Linked DNA regions of Stegostoma tigrinum. The protein of the gene in region 2 interacts with the protein of the main gene of each other region in a pairwise test. Links are inferred from orthologs where the notes say so. Each region holds a gene or a part of one and is shown on either strand. Other genes may lie near its edges.

What was found.
Region 1: the proteins of tnip2 (region 2) and stk11 interact in binary tests that used the Homo sapiens proteins (3 or more experiments, as listed by UniProt). The link is inferred for Stegostoma tigrinum from reciprocal best matches to the Homo sapiens genes TNIP2 and STK11.

Annotation. Positions count from the first base shown.
Region 1 is NC_081383.1:17,097,766-17,108,138, reverse strand, and holds the start of stk11 (serine/threonine-protein kinase STK11), read left to right. Parts: upstream 1-6,019; 5' UTR 6,020-6,117; coding exon 6,118-6,479; intron 6,480-10,373. UniProt on the Homo sapiens protein: Tumor suppressor serine/threonine-protein kinase that controls the activity of AMP-activated protein kinase (AMPK) family members, thereby playing a role in various processes such as cell metabolism, cell polarity, apoptosis and DNA damage response.
Region 2 is NC_081356.1:130,374,341-130,384,364, reverse strand, and holds the start of tnip2 (TNFAIP3-interacting protein 2), read right to left. Parts: upstream 4,549-10,024; 5' UTR 3,728-4,548; coding exon 3,380-3,727; intron 1-3,379. UniProt on the Homo sapiens protein: Inhibits NF-kappa-B activation by blocking the interaction of RIPK1 with its downstream effector NEMO/IKBKG.

The DNA.
Region 1 (10,373 bases), on a different chromosome or scaffold from region 2:
TGTTCTGATATAACACACAAAATTAGATCACAGACATTATTATCTGTTGAATAAAACAAAGAACTGCAGATAATGGAGATATGAAACAAACAAAAACAGAAACTGCTGGAGAAACTCAGCATGTGTGGCAGCATCTGTGAAGAAAAAACAGAGTTCATGCATCAAGTCCAGTGACCTTTCTTCAGAACTGATTAATATCTCTTGATTGTGCAGTGGTGTTGGCTTACTGAACACTGCAGCTCCATTTTTGATTAAATTAATACCAACGCATCCCAAAACAAATGTAATATCTGGCTGATAAGAGGACAATAATTTTAACTTTGCTTTGGGGTCATTGCTGTGGCACACAAGTTACACCTTCAGTCAAATTGTTCAATATCTTAAATCTGTTGAAATGCCATTTGAGAAATTTGCCTCTTAAGCTTTCATCACTGCGTACTTTCTCTAAAGTCAGTCAAGACACTTAAAGTGGAATTATCCAAGTTAGGTCACGGCATTGCACTCAAAGGCGCATCCACTAGAATTGATTTGAAAATGATTGAGCTTTGCTGTGTCTTAAGGTACCTTAGTAATGGATTAACTGTATTATTGTAGCTTGCTGCTTTATTGCAATATTACTGTACATCCTCATATCATAGAATACTTACAGAGTGGAAACAGGCCCTTCAGCCCAACAGGTCTACACTGATCCTTGGAGCAAGCCACCCAGACCCATCCCCATATAACCCACCTAATCTACACATCCCTGAACACTACAGGCAATTTAGCATGGCCAATCCACCTGGTCTGCACATCCTTGGACTGTGGGAGGAAACGCACACACACATGGGGAGAACGTTCAAACTCCACACAAACAGTTGCCCGAGGGTGGAATCAAACCTGGCACCGTGAGGCAGCAGTGCTAACCACTGAGCCACCACTTTGCTGAATAAGAGTAGCAAAAAACCAGAAGATGTTTCAGGAACAATGTAAATATCCTACAGTGAAGCAGGCAACATGCAAAGTAACACAAATCTGAGAGAAATTTGTCAGGGCTTCTTTTGTTCCTAGGTCTGAATGAAAGGCTGGAGATCCACCGTGTTTCATTTTCTATTGACCTTCAAATTCAACATGGGTAGAACGTAAATTACAAAGTGGTGAAAAGGCATCTACTGGGATGGAAAAATCAGACAAAGTGTAAAACACCCTGTATTGTTTCCCACTTGCTCAAGTCACACACATGCCCTGATTCTTTTATATTCCTTCATGGAGTTGAGAAACTTAAATATTCCTTAGTTTCTAGGAGTCTTGCCTGTATCAGAAACAGTAGCGCTCTTGAACAACGTGCTGATACAATTTCAAAGAAGCTTTTCTAAACTTGACTGAGTGGACAGTTTAATTAATATCACAGATGTTCACGGTGAACAGGGTTGGCCAAGTCAAATGGCACAGGATGGTTATTGTTCTCTGTATGAACTTGCTGTGTTGCAATAAGTATTGTGCTGAATGTTCACTTTGGGAGGGGAACAGGAGTTGACACAATTTGTTGATCTGCAACATAGCAGTCAACTAGCATGCAAGTTCTTACAAATAGTAATGTGATAATGACCATCTAATCTGTTTTGTGATGTTGACTGAGGAACTAACAGCAGACAGTGGGGACCTTCTGTGCTCACCTGAGAGAGAAAAGCAGTCTCAGTTTAACCTACCATCTGAAAGATTGTTCATCTGACAGTGCAGCATTCCCTCAGAACTGTTTTGCATTATCAGCCTAAATTTCTGTTCTCAGGAATGTGGCATGAACCTCCAACCTTCTAGGTCAGAGTTGACACTGCTACCAAATGAACTGAATCTGATCGAAAATAAATGTGAAATCTTACAGAGAATGACCACAATGTTGGATTGCTGATATTGTGAAATTGTGAAATTCTGTAATATAATGAAATTTTCAGTTCTGTGTCCTGCTTCTTTTACATTTTAGTTTTCAGAAACTTAATTTGCACTTGTTTTCCCCTGTCGTCCAGCAGGACTATGACAACTTCACCTTTTTTTTAGTCATGCAGTAGGATTTGAAATGGTTAGGTGCTTATTTTTTTTCTTACATTCAACCTCTATATAATGCTATCCCATTGCTGATGGGCCCTCAGTTTACAAATAGGTTGGCCCTGTAACAAAAGGAGCATTTTGATGTTATTTGATGACGTTTACAATGTAGCACATAAACTTTCACAATCCACAGTTAGATTGCCATGCTCTGAATTTATAGAGTTTACATCCTCCTTTAAGAGAAATATAGCCTGTTTTTATTGATATATTCATATTTTTGCTGAATGTGCATTGCATAGCTTTTAAACACAACATGTCCACCCTATTCCTACTCTCTGACAAAAGTTTTTTTTCTCTTTACACTCTGGTAAACAGGAACTACTTTTGCAAAAAGCCATGAGTTAGGTTGACAGTACTTCCAGGAAGGTTTAGAAATCTTATTTAATTTGTTCCGTATATATCAAACCTCTCTATTCATTCAAAACTTTCCACTGTTAATCATACTCTGCTCAAGGCTACAGATGAGCATGAATCCTTCTGTACTGGCCATCACTAACAGTGTGAGAAATAGTCGGCAACAGCAATTGTGCCTTCAATCTTCTAACCAGGAGGATATGCTTTGACCTTTGCTCAGCACCCCCAGCCAAAACTCAACCATCCTGAAAAAGGAATTAAAACCTGCATATCCTCCCATCATGTTTCTATGGCTCAATGCATTGAAGTTTGCTGCATAAAGCTTCATGCACTGCTGATTGCTGGTGGAACTGGTTTTCACTTTCAAGTTGATCTAACATCAATTTTCTGCACTTGAGTACTGAGTCAGTCAAGTATTTTCATTTAATACAGAACATGTGCATCACTGTGATGACATTGCATGTTGGTGTACTAATGTGGTATAGCACAGACTGATTGGATTGACTTTACTCTCATGATTCTCCACATAGCGTATTCATCTCTGCTGTGTTTTTACGGAAACTTCTCTACAAAGAGATTGTGAATCTGAAATTCAATTAACTACACCAGCTCAAAAAGTGGACTAAAATTAATTTGCTCCATCTTGCTCAAAGGCAGAGTAGAACATACTGAGGCATTAGTGTTGTGGTAATATCGGTGGGTTAGTAATCCAGAATCCCACGGAAATGTGGGTCAAATCTTACCATGGGAGATGCCATTTTCTCCAGATCATACTTGTTTATATCAATCCCCCATCACAAGGAGAGTTACACAAAATACAAGTGGGATTCTCCACTAATACTAGCTTCCCTCAATTGCAGGGTGTTATAGAATGCATTCGTGGTGCTTTGTAAACATCCTAACATCAACCTGTAGAATTCATCAAATGAAAATGCTTCCACTGCATATATATTCAAATTATATATGGCTATATGTGTGCTTCAGATACCCTGGAGCTACCAAGTTAGAGAAGTCTCAGCCTCCTGTTTACTTCCAAGGTCCTTGAATGGCAGTTGAGAAATAAGAATTAACTCCTCCAAGCATGACTGATAATACTTTTACAAAACCTTGACACTAACAGCGAAGATATGGCACTGTCTATGTTTTCACCAGGCCCTAGTGGAATAGATCATAGGCTTCTTAACAGGAGGTTGTGACGCCTGCACCTCTCCAGCAGAGCCTTGCAGTTTAACTCAAAGTGTGTGTTGCATTGTTGCAGCATGCTGTAACCTTCATAGCTGGAGCCAAAAAAGGATGGATGTCTGGGTGCAAATGAAACTGGGGATTGACACAAAGTCTCTAAGGATGAACAGGAGGATGAGGATATTACTGGCAAGAATATCTCACATGGGGCAACATAATTGTGTCTGGCAGTGACAAAGGCATTGCAGAAAGCATTTTCAAGGTGGAAATGCATATATACAAATGTGCAAGATAATTTACAGTGATGTGTCACTTGTTCTATCCATATGTCCTCAGTAAGAATAAGGTCCCTGCCCATCCCACTACTTCTATGTGCAGTTCTAACTCTGAACTGGGGTGGAAGGACCCTGTTCTGTCATTGGCCTGAAGTAACCTTGTAAGCTGCAACTCGTGGCTTAATGTCCCCAGAGGTGTTTTGCTTAGAGACCTAAGGCCTGTTGGTGGTGTGCTGTCCAGATGAGGTTTCACCCTCCACAGCTTGATTTCTGCAGTCTTTGGCTTCATAGGGGAGTTGGAGGAGCTGGGTGCCTCTTAAGTGTCCTGAGACAGAGCATATGGGCCCCTCTGTGTTGCTCCTTGCTGTTGGCACTTGCTGTCAGCATCCTGTCTGCCTGAGAGAAAGAGGCACCAGGGGAAGTGGAGATCTCTCATTTCCTTCTTGTGCTGCTTTGATGCTGAACATCACTCAAATGTCAAATTGGGTGTAAACATAATAAAGCTTTTAGTCAGTTTTATAGCAGCCTCCCTGCTATTGTGGCATCATCAGCTGGGCATGGTAGTCTGAAGTGATCTCCCAGCCTCATCATCCTCGAGGTGAAGCCCAGTGCGGTCTGGAACCAGGACAGGAAGCTCGGTGTCAGCGTGGTCTGTTGTTCGGAATTTTTGTTTTTGCAATGCTGGACATTTTACTTCTTCAAGATCTATCCATGAACTAGTAACTAAAGAAGCTGTATCCAGGTACCTTTGTATAAACTTTTCACAATACTCATTGAGTATATGTGATAATAAAGGTTAATTCTAATTTAAAATCTGGTGCCAAACACTAGCAGATCTGTAACATCACAATGAGTATTTTTTTAAGGGTTTACTTAATTTGTCACAGGTTGAATGGACTTTGTAAAAAAAATCCCTTCAAGAAATAAAAAGACATACTTATCAAAACAGTGAAAAAAATCTTCTTTAGGTCAACAAATTCTTGGGACATGATTTTCAGCACGTATATGCTTTTTCAGGAAAGCATGCAGCCCAAAATTTTACAAAAGTTGGCAACAATTTATTTCCAGTTAAAAGTGATTTGGTTAAGCTAAATTTCAGGGACATGAAATTGATGAAAATGGCACCAGCATAGTGAGTACCGTTCAGGCTGATTGGAGCCCATCTACTCCAGGCCAGAGGTGTCGTTTTCTCGACGTACTTTTCAGGTTTTCTCTTTCTGTTTGTCCTTTCTTCCTGAAGTGGTGTCAGTAAGGGCAGCATTTGCAGGGTCGGCGGAGGGGGACTCCTCCGGGTTTGGAATACCTTACAGAGACCTTGCAGAAGCCTTGAAGACCCCAACTTGAAAGGAACACGAACTCCCATTTTAGTAATTTCTTCTTATCCTTTGTAACTCAAAATAGCACTGGATTGTGGTGATAAATCCCTTTTCACTGTATCTTCACGGTATGCGACAACAAATCGTTCATTCATTCAAAACTTCAATTCTGATTAGAAAGCACTGGTTACTTTAAATCTAAATGTAGCCACGGTGCATAAAATTGACAAATCATTACCTTTTTTAAAACTTGTGAATTGAATTTAAAACTTTGCAACAGCAAAAATTTTGTCTCACCGTCCTGTTAAGTCACCAGAAATCCGAGGGCACTAAGTTCAAAGTCTGAGAGAATGTAGCATTTAAAAATAACCCTCACACACCTCTCTCTCTCTCTCTCATAGCTATATTAAACCCCTGGATTAGGACCAGATCATCAACACACTCCTTAACGCAGGAGACTGAAGTGGACGCGAGGTGAGCTGGTGACCATTAGAAGCTCGGAATTTTAGAACAGGGGCTAGTCTGATTTGCTGCTATACCGCTGATTGATACAGATATCAACCAATGAAACGCTGCGGTTTTTCCTAGCAACCAGCCAATAGAAGCTACGAGCGCTGAGTGTGAGGCGGGCCTTTGTCGCTGGTTGTGAGGTAACAGCGATAATTGACATGATGTCGGATCAATGGAAAAGAGGAACAGCGTTTGAAGGTGGGACCTGTTTTTGCGTCGCCTGGTAACGCAGCTAACAGACATGGAGGACTACCAATAGGAGGAGGGAATAGTGCCCAGCGGGCTTTGGGGGTGTGATGACGCACAACGGCAACTCCGGAGTTGTTCAGGGGCAGGTAAACAAAATGGCGGCTGCCTAACAACTGAACTCCTTGCAGGAGGAGGGAGGAGAGGCGATGCTGCATGGAGCGGAGCAACGACAACATCAGTCAGAGGAGCCCGAGGAATCCGAGTCGATCCTGGCGCCTTTCAGAGACTATGTCGAGATGGACGAGGTCATTGACTACATCAGTGACAACGACCTCATGGGAGTGGACACTTTCATCCACAGGATAGATTCCACTGACGTGATCTACCAGCCGAGGAAGAAACGGGCCAAAATCATCGGAAAGTACCTAATGGGCGACCTCCTGGGAGAGGGTTCCTACGGCAAAGTCAAGGAGATGCTGGACTCTGAGACACTGTGCAGGAGGGCCGTGAAAATCCTCAAGAAGAAAAAGCTGAGGAGAATCCCGAACGGGGAAGCGAATGTGAAAAAGTAAGTGGATGGAAGTAGAAATATTGCACACACGATCGAGGCTCATGAAGCGCCTGTAATGCTTACTGACAGTTCACACCGAATCCCTAAAAGTGGCAGTTGGACAGGCTCTACCCCATCCCCCTCAACTCCCCCATCGCCACTTTTCACTTTTGACAACCAAACCCGTCAGTCCATCGTCGCGATTCTTGCTCCCAAAGGGACAACGAGAGGTGAACTAGTAGCCTGTCTTACTGCAGCCAACCTGCATGTTGGTTTGAAATCTTTGGATTTCTGATGATCATATCTTTTTTCAATGTAACAAAGGCGGTACTTTCGTGCTCCGTCTCTTTGAATTAAGAAAAATGAAGTTCTGGTACCAGACTTGTCAAGTTGACATATTTTTGAAACGGGGAGGAGTAAATGTTATAGTGACATCGTATTCTTGAATCTCACAGCTATAGTAATATATTGAGCTTAACATTTTGAACCGACGACATTGGTACGAGACAGCTGTTTCCATTTAAACACCCAGTTTTAGTGATCTAGGTTGGAGAAAGAGGAAGTAAAACATTTGAACGATTACGATTGCCCGTTGATTTACCATATAGTTTGTCGTCATTGCGATTTTTGCGACATATAGCAATGAGCATTATGCAGAACAATGTTTAATTTTATTTTCAACCAAAAGATAAATTTAGCCAGTTGAATGTTGCAACCGCCTAGCTCCCATTTCTTTCTGTGGTTTAAAAACTCAACCACTGAACAGCAACTTACATTGTTTTAAGTATTGTATTTGACTTAACGATGATGTGAACTGCGTGTTTAGAAATGTGAAACAGGGAAACAGTTCTCATTGAAAATGACACCTCAATTAAAATTTAAACACAATTTAAATGCTTTCTATCACTGTTCTATTGATTTTATATTCTTCCTACTAAAATCTGAGCTTTTAATTTGCCAAACAAAAATATTGGGGACATTCCTTGGCTGAGTTCCCAATTTTGATTAATACTTATACTCTGGCTTCACTTGGGGCAAGATTTAGTTGGTTTTTAAAGGGTCATCGTGTGATTGTGAATTTGGGACTCTTCTCTTTCAGCGTTGGCACAGGGCTGTCTAGTCAGGTCGGTAAGGAAGTGAGTTCTTTTGGGTTCATGACATTGAAACTAAAGAGGAAAGCATTGATGACTTTTGGGGTTTGGGGAAAGGGATGTAATTTTGAGAGAGTTGATGATTGTGACGTAGCCGATATCTGTTCAGTAATCTTAGAAATCCTCTTCACCACTTTTACAAATATTAGATAAATCTCCATACATTTGCTTCAATTATTGAGTCAAAATATGTAAAAAAGAGCACTTGTACTGTTAATACAGTCAACTCTTAAATGAGAGTCCTGCTCATTTATTATTTGTGCCGTGCCTTCTTCCAAGATAGCTAGCATCTAACTTGCTTCAGCACAGCTAAACTCACTTAGATTCTTGCTAGTCTAAATATTCAACAATATTTGTTGATTCCTATAAAGAAATCTTACCCTGATGTACAGAGCTGAAAAAACAAGTGTAGGTTTTTCACTGAACAGTCAGTCAGCTTTTTGGATAACCTTTGTAATTTTTTTCTTACTTTATGTTGGTTCATGGTGTTTAAAAAGTTAATATTAGTGATTTTGTTCAAGTGAATTTGGACTATGAAAGGTCTAAAACATTTGATCCAAATCAAGTGTGGATAATGCATCCACCCATTGTTGGTTGCTGAAGGCTTCCTGGCATTACTACTCCAGTTCTGTTTTGACAGTGCCAATATTCCATCCTCTGTAAAATTAGCTCATTCAAATCTCTGCTGCTAACTTGCACAACCTTCCTTTCACCTATTAACCATCTGCTGATGTAGATTGGCTGTAGTCTCACTAACACCTTGAATTTAAAATTCTCATTTTTGTATTCAGATCGCTCAATGGCCTTGCTTCTCATGGTTGCAGTAACCTGTACTTTTGGAAATCTCTGCTCCTCAAATTCTGATCTTGCATGTATATCTTTGATTTATGTTGTCTCATCACTCGGTACCTTTGGCTCGCCTAAGCCCTGAGTCTTGGAATTGCCTTTTTCAACCTCACTATTTCTCTCTTTTCCTTTTTAAGTACTCCATAACACAATTTATTTGATCAAGTTTTGGCCATTTGTCATAGTTTTTTTTTCTATTTATGTACCTCAGCATCAAATGTTTTTGATAACACTGCTGTGATATACTTTGGAATGTTTTACTGTGTTGCAGGTGCAGAATAAGTGCAATTTGTTTTAAGGAATTAATAACACAGCAAAAAAATAGGAGCAGGAGTAGGCCATTCAGCCTTTGATCTGTTCTGCCAATCAGTAAGATTATGGCTGATCTGATTTAAGACTTAATTCTACTTTCTTGAATGCTGCTTGTAACCTTTGATTCCCTTGTTGGTCAAAATTCTGTCTACCTGAGCTTCATATATAGTCCATAGTCCAGCCTCCACTGCTGCCTGTGGAAAATTTCAAGGGCTGATGACCCTGAGAAAATACATTTCTTTTCATCTCGATCTTAAATGGGAGACTGCTTATTTTTAAAATGTGCACAGTATTTCTAAATTTCTGTATGAGGAGAAACATCCTCTCCACAACTACCCTATCAAACTCATTCAAACCTTGTATTTCAATGAGATCAACTTTCATTCTTCCAAACTCATGTGTATGGGCCCAACGCATTTAACCTTTTGTCAAAAGAGAATCCATTCTTTCCACATGTTTGTTTTGCATTCGCTCGCGCCCTGAATTTAATTTTTAACTACTTTTCAATGTTTCCCGTTAAAGTCCACAAAGCTTCTGAATCTTTTTCGTTAGTTGCTTTTCTACTGGATTTTAAAAAATCATTTATAAGCTTGTGGCAATATTATCTGTCCTTTAGCCTAAGGTATTGATATATATTTTATCCCTGAGGTATCAGTACTTACCCTCATGCCACTTCACTATCATCCCCAATACCATGAGCATCTTGTGTGGTAACTTTAATCTGGTACCCTTATCGAATGCTTTTAGCACATTCAAATACACTGCATCCATAGGTTCCTCTTTTTCTACCCTGCATTTTACAACTGTAAAGAATGGTGATAGGTTTATCAAATATGAATTCCCTTTCACAACTCTGTTGACTTTGCTTGCTAGGATTACAATTTCTTACATATCTTGCGTGTACCACTTTAGAATTGGATCCTAGCATTTCCTGAAATACAAAGATTAATTGGACTATAGTTTTTGCATTCTGTCTTCCTGCTTGAGTGCGTGTTGTATTTGCCGATCCTTAGTGTGCAGGAAGCTTTTCAGAATCTGGCAATTTTTGAAAGCTTACCACTAATGCATCTGCTTTCTCTGCATATCTTTACTTGAGATACAGTCATCAGATACTTGTTGAAGTTGTCAACCATTAGCGGAGGCCATGGCATTGAAGCACTCAGTGTGCCAATAAATATTTGAGAACAGGAGCCTAAGTAGGACTGGAACAGAAAACTGGAATGACTTAGGCCATTTGGCTATCTGTGGCTATTTATGAATGCATTCCTTTATGAAAAAAATTAATCAGCACCCAATTTGCTGATAAAGGCACTCCTTTTGCAGATTTACCAACTGCTGTCTGGAACAGTTAACTGTAAGCTGTTTATTGACATTAATTTTCCTGAGATTGCCATTATGTTATGATTGTAATTTATATGCTTATGATTATGTCAAACATATTAGTCGATGCATTTTACTGTGATACAGTCATAGAAACGCTACCTTTTGGAATCAAGCTCTGTGTTCCAGTGCCATTCTAGGACTAGTACGGAAGCAAAGTATTGTAGATCCTGGAAATTTGAAACAGTAACAGAAAAAGCTGAAGAAACACAGCAGATCTGGT
Region 2 (10,024 bases):
TCAAGACTGCGACAGAACAACAACCAAAATGTATTGTTCGAGTTTGGAAGTGGAACTTGTAGCCATAGCCTCCTGGCTGAAAAGTGAGGGAGCTACCCGTGGGCAAAGTAACCAGTACAGGCTACTGTGTTGAAAGATCCTCCGCCCTCCCCCCCACCCCGCCCCCATGGAATACCTAAATCATCCTATCATTCAAATTGAACAATGCAAACAAATAGAAACTGTACTGTGTTAACGAAGGCCATTTGGTGTGCACCAGAGCTCATACAACATGAACCGTTATCTTCTAACCCCATCAACACGTCCTTTGAATCTCTTCTTCTTCAAGTGTTTATGTGGCTTCCCCTTAAATGCATTGATGCTTCTCAAGTCAATCAATTCTTCTGACAGCAAGTTCCACATTCTCACTAATCCATAAGTAAAGAAGTGGGTTTTTTCAAAGAAACCTTTCAGATCACCTGAGTTAGTCGACTTTGAATACAGAGTCCTCAAAGTGCCACTGAGTTTCCTGCATAATCTCTCAAATTTCTCTGTAGCCATAGCTGCTTTACCCCAGGGACTGAAACTTACATGGTATTAATAGATCAGTTTGATTTACACGTGGGTGGGATAAAAGAGATCACGCAGAAGGGGGAAGTTCATAATTATGGCAGTCACAGAGTGATTCTGGAAGAAGCAGAACCTCTGCTGACACAAATCAATTTTGGACGCACAAATTCACAAGTATTTGGTTATTCAAATCAAGGATATGCGGGCATTGCTGGAAAGGCCAGCACTCATTGCTCATCCCTATCTTGGGGGAAGTGACTTGCTCGGGCCATTGAGACTCCATCACTTTGCTGTTGATCAGGAGTTACATGGAGACCAGACTGGGCAAGGACAGATTTCCTTCCTTATAGGAAACTTGTAAACAGAAAAATCCAGTAATTTTGTGTTTGCACTTACAGATGCAAATTGATGCCAGATTTATGTTATCAAGTTAGTTTAAATTCCCCACTTTCTTGCTGAAATTTGATCTCAAAATTATCAGTCGCAGCCTCTCATACTATGTTGACGTTCTTCTCTGTTCTCAGTTCAAAAGGACCACATTGAGTATTTTCATATCATATCATATCTATTGGAAGAATGACCAACATGCTTTGCTCTTAATTACTCAATTGCCAAGCAGTCACTCTACTGTATCAAACCACCATTGATATCGTAACAGTGGGCCAGCTCCACCTTCTCTGAGTAACTTGGGACAGTCACTAAAACAATGTCTTTGCCAGCGATACTGACATCCTGAAAAAAAAATCAATATTACAGAGATGTGTTGTTGTGAATGGATGTCAGACATTCTAGGAACACAAAGGGTGCTGTGAATCAGTTGGGTGGACAACAGTGGAGTCATGAGGAAGAGAGGACTTCATGGAGTAAATGCAGAAGTTAGGAATTTTAAGGTTGGAGGCTTCTAGCTTCAGAAATGGAAAAACAGGAAAACCAAATGTCTGGCCAACAGCAAGATGATTGGTCAGACGTGATTCAGTGGATCATACTTTCATCTCTGGTTCAGAAAGCTGCAGGTTCAATTCCTACAGCAACGCAAAATCTAAGCTCTGACATCCCCAGTGTCAGAATGAAGGTGACTTCTTTCAGCTGGGATTGACATAAAGATTCAATGGCCCCCTAATCAAGGAAGAGTACAGGAGTCTCCCCTGGTGACCTGCACAATATTTATCCCTCAGTCAAAATCGGGTTTATTTGAAAACACAAGCTTTCAGAGCCTCAGTGCTTCTTCAGGTGTTAGTAAGAGATAGTGATACCACCTCTCTCACTAACACCTGAAGATGGAGCGAGACGCCAAAAGCTTTGGTTTTGAATAAACTTGTTGGGCTAAAACCTGGTGTCATGCAATTTCTGACTATCTAGATTGACACTCCTAGTGCTGCACTATCAGAGACACTGTCTTTTGGATAAGGCTCTGCGGGCCCTCTCAGGTGATAGCACACTACAGTTTTGTGGAAGTGCAGAGGTATTCTCCGCAGTGTACTTATCCCTCAGCCAATATTACTGTAACAGATTCTGATCTTTATTACCTGCTGTTTTTGGGAACTTGAGCCTAAATTGCGACAGTGATGGCACTTCAAAAGTACTTTATTACCTAGAAATACTCTGGGACAAGGTATTACAAAGACAATGTGTTTCTCTAATTTTCTCATAAAAAAAGCATTCCTTTTAATGTGGCTGACATTTAGGAAAAGAAGAAAAATGTAATTTTTACTCCTTAAAAAAAATGTATTCTTTGTTTCTCCCTCATTGGGCTGTGGTCCCCAGGGCAAAGTTACCACTTATTGGCCATCTTTAATAAGAAAGTAATAGTGACTCTTCTGGACCTCTTGGGAGAGATTTGATACAACTGAGTGACTTGCCACCATGACCATTATTGGGCAGAACTGGAGTCATACAGGTAAGCCCGAGGGGCTGTTTTCCTTTCCTCAAGGGTATTAGTTGAATCAGATCTTATCCTCCCGTATGCATTTGAGGGTGCCTGAAATCTAAAGACGATTTCAAGGTGGGTCACTAGCTGTCTGGACTCCCGGCCTCCGAAGGAGGGAAGTTACACTGTTACGTCAACTGAGACCAATGCTGTGTATCAGAACCCACACAATCAGCTTAGGCAGGCTTCAGTTGATTATTTTTGTTAAAAGACATCCAAAAATACAGTTCATCCAGATCAGTTGTTTTAACTTTGTGCGACATCCCTTCGACACAAGTTGTTACAAGCACAGGAGGCGGCCATTCAGGTCACTGTGCCTGTGCAAGCTTTCTAAAGGAGAAATTCATTTAATAATATTCTCCAACATGTTCACATAACTCTGCATTTTCTTCCGTTTCAGGTAAGTTCACATCCCTTTTGAATGCTTCAATTGATCCTGCCTCCACCATGTTCTCCAGCAATTCATTCTAGACCTTAAATGCTCAATTTAAAAAAAAGTTTCCTCAATGCTTTTGCCAATTACTTTAAAATCTGTGCCCTTTCATTCCTCCATCATTTCATAAGTGGGAACATTTACAATTTACTCTGTCCAGACCTCCTGATTTTGAATAAGCCATGAAACAAATTAATATCAATTAAATATCCACTTAATCTTCTCTGAAAGGACATGAATCCCAAAATCTCCAAACTATCTTCAAAACCAAAACTCCTCATTCCTAGAACCATTCTGATAAAAGTCAGCATCTACTGATTCTGAACAAAAGGGAATTCCTTACCCCAGCAGGTTTTACTCACTTGTGAATTAACCTGGATTATATATTTTCACTATGCCACAGGAAGATTTTTATTATTTTTCCAAAAATACTAGACACATCTTTACAGATAGATGTTTTTGCCCCTTACCTCTTTCAGCTTGGTGTTCTCTTGCTGCCAAATCCTTGCTGAATCCGCCAGCTCCTTTTTGACTTTACCCACCTCTTGCAGCAGACAGTCCACAAGGGAGCCGGACGGACCAAAGCTGACCCCGGGCTCCTGGCCGAAACCGACCGCGATGCTGCCCTCGTAGGCGGCCAGGCGAGCCTGCAGGTCTTTGACCAGGCCGTCCTTCAGGGTGAGCTCCCGACTCAGGCGGCCCACTTCCTGCAGGGTTTCGTGGTAGAAAGTGGTGATGGTGTTGTAGCTTTTTAGCCTGGCCTTCGGAAGCCGGCTGTCCTTTTGCTGCTCCGCATTCTCATCGCCGTCCACAGACATTGTATATAAATGCTGTTCTGAATGCGACCTCCCCCGACTCGGGAAGGGGGGGAAGCAATCAGTCGGGATTTTCTTCTCGAAATTCTTATAAGTTTTTAGAAAAAGAGATATCTAAACGAAGACATTGTGTGCTGTGTCAAATTGTTAAAAAAAGTTGCCAAAAAAGTCGACCCTCGGTCTCTAAATATATATATATAGATTACTGTCTCAATTTTGATTCAGAGGTTGCGGACAATGTTAAAAATGCAGTAATTAGCACAAATTGTCCGTACTTTCTGAGTAGCATTGAAAGCTAATTAATGGGAGACACTGTAGCTAAATGTGGATTCTCTGGAGCGTTCACTCCGACAGGCAGATAGTAAATATGAAGAGATTAAACCTTGTCCTAGGGGCAGTGACTGACTGTATCCATTCCGTTCCCTCCATGTCATTTCGTAATCGGCGTATTTCCATCCAGCAGCTCGGGAATTTCCTCCCCGGGGGATCCCCCTCCTTCTCTGGATTTTTTTTCGTACTTTTCTCTCTTTTGAAAAATAAGGGGCCGATTCTACTCCGCTCACTTGCCTGTGTCCGTCTGGTTCCAATTACCATTTGCTAGTTGAAAGCTCCAAGAAAACCACTCGTAACAAAAAAACACAGGAGCAGGTCTACTTTTTTTTTAAACATTAACACGTGTCTGACTAGCCGGAACTAACTCGGTTGATGGACGTTTTGTGACGTTCTGACGCTTCCTGCTCGGATTTACCCTTTTGCTTTAAATGAGGGGTTTACAACCTTTAAAATCTGATCTTTTTCTTCGACCTCCCCCTCCCCTCTCAAAGTTAACCGTACACATGTCACATTCGTTACACAACACTCCTTCGCCCAGTGGGCGTGTGCTGCCTGTTACAGCAACATCCGCTTCATGTTATTTCTCCTAATTTAGTTACAGTTTCATGTGAATGTGAAAGGCGAGAGAAAGCAATTGGCACTGATTCTCCCAGGAAAAAGGCAAGGTGGGATGGTGAGCGGGCTGTTTGTCAGCAAGGAAGTTTTGTAAATGAAGCTACCGGCCGAAAAAGGTTTTTCAAAACTACACGTTAGAATTATTTGTGTGGGTTTTTTTTCATCAATCAATTCCAGGAAGTGATACATCACCGATCCTTCACTGACAAATGACAAATGATAACTCCCTGTGGGGAGTTCGGATACGATTGTTGAATAGAATTTAGACCACAGATATAGATCCTGTTGACACTTCCCAATGAGGGACAAGTCTCACCACATTCTCTCTCCAGCGGTGTGTTTATTAAGCTTCCCCTGAAATGTTCTTGGCCTTAACTCCTTGTGGTAGTGAAAGATAAACAAAAAATGCTGAAAGAGCAAATCATGTAGGCAGTATCTGTGTCAATGGATCTGTGACCTTTTCATTGCTGCTGTATAATGATTCGTCCGTCCTGCCCATCGTGAGCTAGCATCCACTATTCTCTCTCCTGATAGGGCCTTCTTGGTTTGGTGTGCTGGAGAAAAACAGATTTGATAGTTTAACAAGAAAGGGCTTTTGTTTTTATTAAGATGTTGGTTATTCTAATGATAGCAACTGATGGAATAGACTGAGAGTATGGGCTCATTTGGTACAGTGGCAATGACTCTACCTCTGAACCGGGAGGCCTGAGTTTAGTCCCATTTGCTCCAGCATGGATTAGAAACTGTCTAGATTGAGATTAAGGAGGACCTAGATTGTTGGCCATTTGCTGTTCACAATCCTAAACTTGGGCTTTGCAAGGTGGGGTGGATCGAAAGCTCAAGTGGGGTCAGAACTGAAATGTTGTCATCCTGAACTGTGAGGCAGCAGTGGTCACAGTGGAGCCCTGACTGAGTTATTACCAGCTGTGCTCCCAGTCTGACAGGAACACCCCCTCACTTCTGATCTACCACTCAACTCTCACAGTTCACACTGTGGGATCAGATCAAATTTCAAGGCTGGGTGTGGCTTCTGCAGGAACAGATTGAGGAAGGACTATCCAAATTTACCCTCCCACCAAGTCCCTATGATATCATCATAGTGGATGGTGCTTAAGACATTAGGGACAATTAACCCTTTCAAACCCTGACACAGACCACTTTGAAAAAGGCACTTTCTCCTGTAAATCTTTTTGGATCGTTTGGGGACTAACTCCTACTTTCTCCTCTAGTTTAGGATGCCATCTCAGCAGGTATCTTGGCTTTGCAAATCATTGGTGCAGATTTGTGGGCAACATTTGGCCCATATCCGTCTAAACCCTTCCTCTTCACGTACCCATCCAGTTGCCTTTTAATTGTTGTAATTGTACCAGCCTCCAACACTTCCTCTAGTAGCTTGTTCCATACATGCACCACCTTGTGCCTGAAAAAGTTGCCCTTTAGGTCCTTTTTAAATCTTTCCCCTCTCACCTTAAACTTATGTCGTCCAGTTTTGGATTCTCCCACCCCAGGGAAAAGAACTTGTCTATTTAAGATAACAAGGTGTAGAGCTGGATGAATACAGCGGGCGAAGCCGCCTCAGAAGAGCAGGAAGGCTGACATTTCAGGCCTAGACTCTTCTTCAGATCCTTGTCTATTTACCCTGCCTCTGTCCCTCATGATTTATAGACCTCTATAAGGTCACCCCTCAGCCTCCAACGCTCCAGGGAAAACAGCCCCAGCCTTATTCAGCTTCTCCCTATAACTCAAACCCTCCAACCCTGGCACTCTCCTTATAAATCCTTTCTGAACATTTTCAAGTTTCACAACATCCTTCCTATAACAGAGAGACCAGAATTGCACACAGTTTTCCAAAAGTGACCTAACCAATGTCCTGTACAGCCGCAACATGACTTCCCAACTTCTATGCTCAATGCACTGACCAATAAAGATAAGCACACCAAATGCCTTCTTCACTACCTTGTCTACCTGCGACTACACTTCCAAGGAACTATGAACCTGCACTCCAAGGTCTCCTTGTTTGGCCACAGTCCCCAGGACCTTACCATTAAGTATAAAAATCCTGCCCTGACTGACCTTTCCAAAATGCAGCACTTCACATTTATCTAAATTAAACTCCATCTCGCACTCCTCAGTGGCCCATCTGATCATGATCCTGTTGTACTCTGAGGTAACATTCTTCACTGTCCACTACACCTCCAATTTTGGTGTCGTCTGCAAACTTACTAACCATACCTGCTATGTTCACATCTAAATCATTTGTACAACTGACGAAAGCAATGCACCCAGCACTGATCCTTGTGGCACACCGGTCTCCAGTGTGAAAAGCAATCCTCCATCTCCACCCTCTGTCTCCTACGTTCGTTTCCAAATGGCTAGTTTTCCCTGTATTCCATGTGATTTAACCTTGCTGACCGGTCTACCATGAGAAACCTTGTGAATGCCTTACTGAAGTCCATCTAGATTAAATCCACTGCTCTGTCCTCATCAATCTTCTTTGTTACTTCTTCAAAAAACTCAGTTAAGTTAGTGAGACACGATTTGCGGGTGCAGAAGAAGAAACATCTTAACCAGTACAAGAAAGCAAGTTTAATAAATTATTTAAGGTTTTAGCCAAGATCTGTAGCTCGGGTTGTGGGTGAGGTTGTTGACTTGCTCACCAAGCTGGCTTGTTCTCATTCAGACATTTCATCACCACGGTCGGTGATATCAATAGTGGAGTCTCTGATGAAGCTATGTTATTCTACTCCATTTGGAATTTATACTGCCTGGTCCATTATGGCGAGTAATGTTATTCCCAGTTCTGATCTGTATGGATTTGTATATGGCATCCAATTCTATTTGCTTGCTGAATGTTTGGTTTTGATCTGTATGGGTTTGTATATGGGGTCCAATTTTATATGGTTGTTGATTACATTACGGGTGGAGAACCATGCCTCTATAAATTCCTGTGCGTGTCTTTGTTTGGCTTGGGCTACTACAGTTACGTTGTCCCAGTTGAACTGATGGCCTTCGTTGTCCAATTGTGCTGATATTAAGGAGAAATAGACATGCTGTTTTGCTACTAGTTGATTTTTGTGTATTCTGATGGCTAGTTTCCTTTCTGTCTGTCTGATGTAATTTTTGTGGCAGCCCTTGCATGGAAATTTGTAAACTGTGTTGGTTCTGCATGTTGTGGGAGTGGGGTCTTTAATCCTTGTGAGTGTTCCCAAACATGCAGAACCAACGCAGCCATCAGAATATACAAACATCAACTAGCAGCAAAATGACACCATGAACTTTCCTTAAAATCGGCACACTCGGACAACGAAGGCCATCAGTTTAACTGGGACAAGGTAACTGTAGTAGCCCAAGCCAAACATAGACGTGTACAGGAATTTCTAGAAGCATGGTTGTCAACCCATAATGCAATTAACAAACATACAAAATTGGATCCCTTTTACAAACCCATACAGATCAAAACAGGAAATGACAGTACTCACCATAATGACCAGATGGCGGAGTAGAACAACATCACTTCATTGGAGGCCTCACTGATGATGTTACCGAGCATGGCGATGAAATGTCTGAATGAAAACAAGCCAGCTCTGCGAGCAAGTCAACAACCTTTAATAAATTATCTCAATGTTGAAAGATTCCCTTAGGCAACATTGACCATAACATGGTAGCATTTAACGTTCATAGAACATAGAACATAGAACAACACAGTGCAGAGCAGGCCCTTCGGCCCTCGATGTTGCGCCGACCTGTGAACTAATCTAAGCCCATCCCCCTACACTATCCCACCATCATCCATATGCTTATCCAAGGATTGTTTAAATGCCCCAAATGTGGCTGAGTTAACTACATTGGCAGGCAGGGCATTCCACGTTCAGTTTGGGACTCAGTAACCTGGATCGGAAACAACTGTGTTAAACCTAAAATAATTACAAAGCAATGAAGGCAAAGCTATTTGGAGTGTACTGGGGAAGGAGTTTTCATAGAATCCCTACAGTGTCTAAACAGGCCATTTGGCCCAACAAATCCACACTGCCCCTCTGAAGATCATCCCACCCAGGCCCACTCCCTTATCCCTGCATTTCCCATGTCTAACCCACCTAACCTAAACGTGCCTGGGCACAATGGATAATTTAGCATGGCCAATCCACCTACCCTGCACATCTTTGGACTGTGGGAGGAAACTGGAGCATCTGGAGGAAACCTACACAGACACGGGGAGAATGTGCAAACTCCACACAGACAGTCACCGAGGCAGGAAATGAGCCCGGGTCCCTGGCGCTGTGAGGCAGCAGTGCTAACCACTGAGCCACTGTGCTTCCCCCAAGTTTATCCCCTTCCGACAATTCTTCTTTCTCACAGGGATAAATCTTTATGTTTTGTAGGAAAGCCAAATGGCAGACATTTAAGAAAATAGTTAATGGCTCACAACAAAGATTTATCCCAGTGAGAATGAATGATTGTAGAAAAGGGATAAACTAAACATGATTAAGGATAGTTAGGGATAGCATAAAACAGCATAGCAAAGATTAGTGGTAATCCAGAAGATTGGGAAAGTTTTAAAAAGCAACAAAAGAAAAAAATAATAAAGAGGGAGAAAATAAACTTTGAGAGTAAACTTGCAAGTAATAACACAACAGGCAGCAACAGCTTCTTTAAATATATAAAAAGGAACAGAGAGGCCAAAGCGAACACAGGCCCCTTAGAGAATGAGGCTGGGAAAATAATATTGAAGAATAGGAAAATGACTGAAGCAATGAATAAGTACTTTGCATCAGTCATTACTGTAGAATACACTAGTAACATTCCAAACGATATTGAATCATCAAACAGAAAATAAGCAAGGAAATAAACACAATGGTTATCACTAGAGAATACATACAAGGGAAACTACTATTATATCTCATGGATCTGATGTGTCACGTTTTAGGATGTTAAGGGAAGTAGCTGCAGAGACACTGCTGGTAATTCTCCAGGAATCCTTAGATCCTGAAAATATCTCAGAGAATAAAAAACTATACAAGCAAGGAACAGGAGGTATCTGTTTAGCCCCTTAGGCCTACTTCATTACATCACAGTAGCTGATCTATATCTCTGTCCAATTGATCTGCTTTTGCTCCACATCCCTTCCTGAATCAAAATCGAACTTTCAGTCTTGAGAGTTTGGATTCGTTCCCATGGAACATGAACAGCTGTTTTGGAGTGAAGAGCCCAGAGATTCTCTATCCTCAGTGCAATTTCCCTCCTAAATTATCTGGTTCTAATTTTAAGATTATGGCCCTTTGTTCCTTCATTCCTCTGTTTTTTCAGTGACCCTATCAAATTTGTTTTTTATTATTATAAATATCACAATAGTAA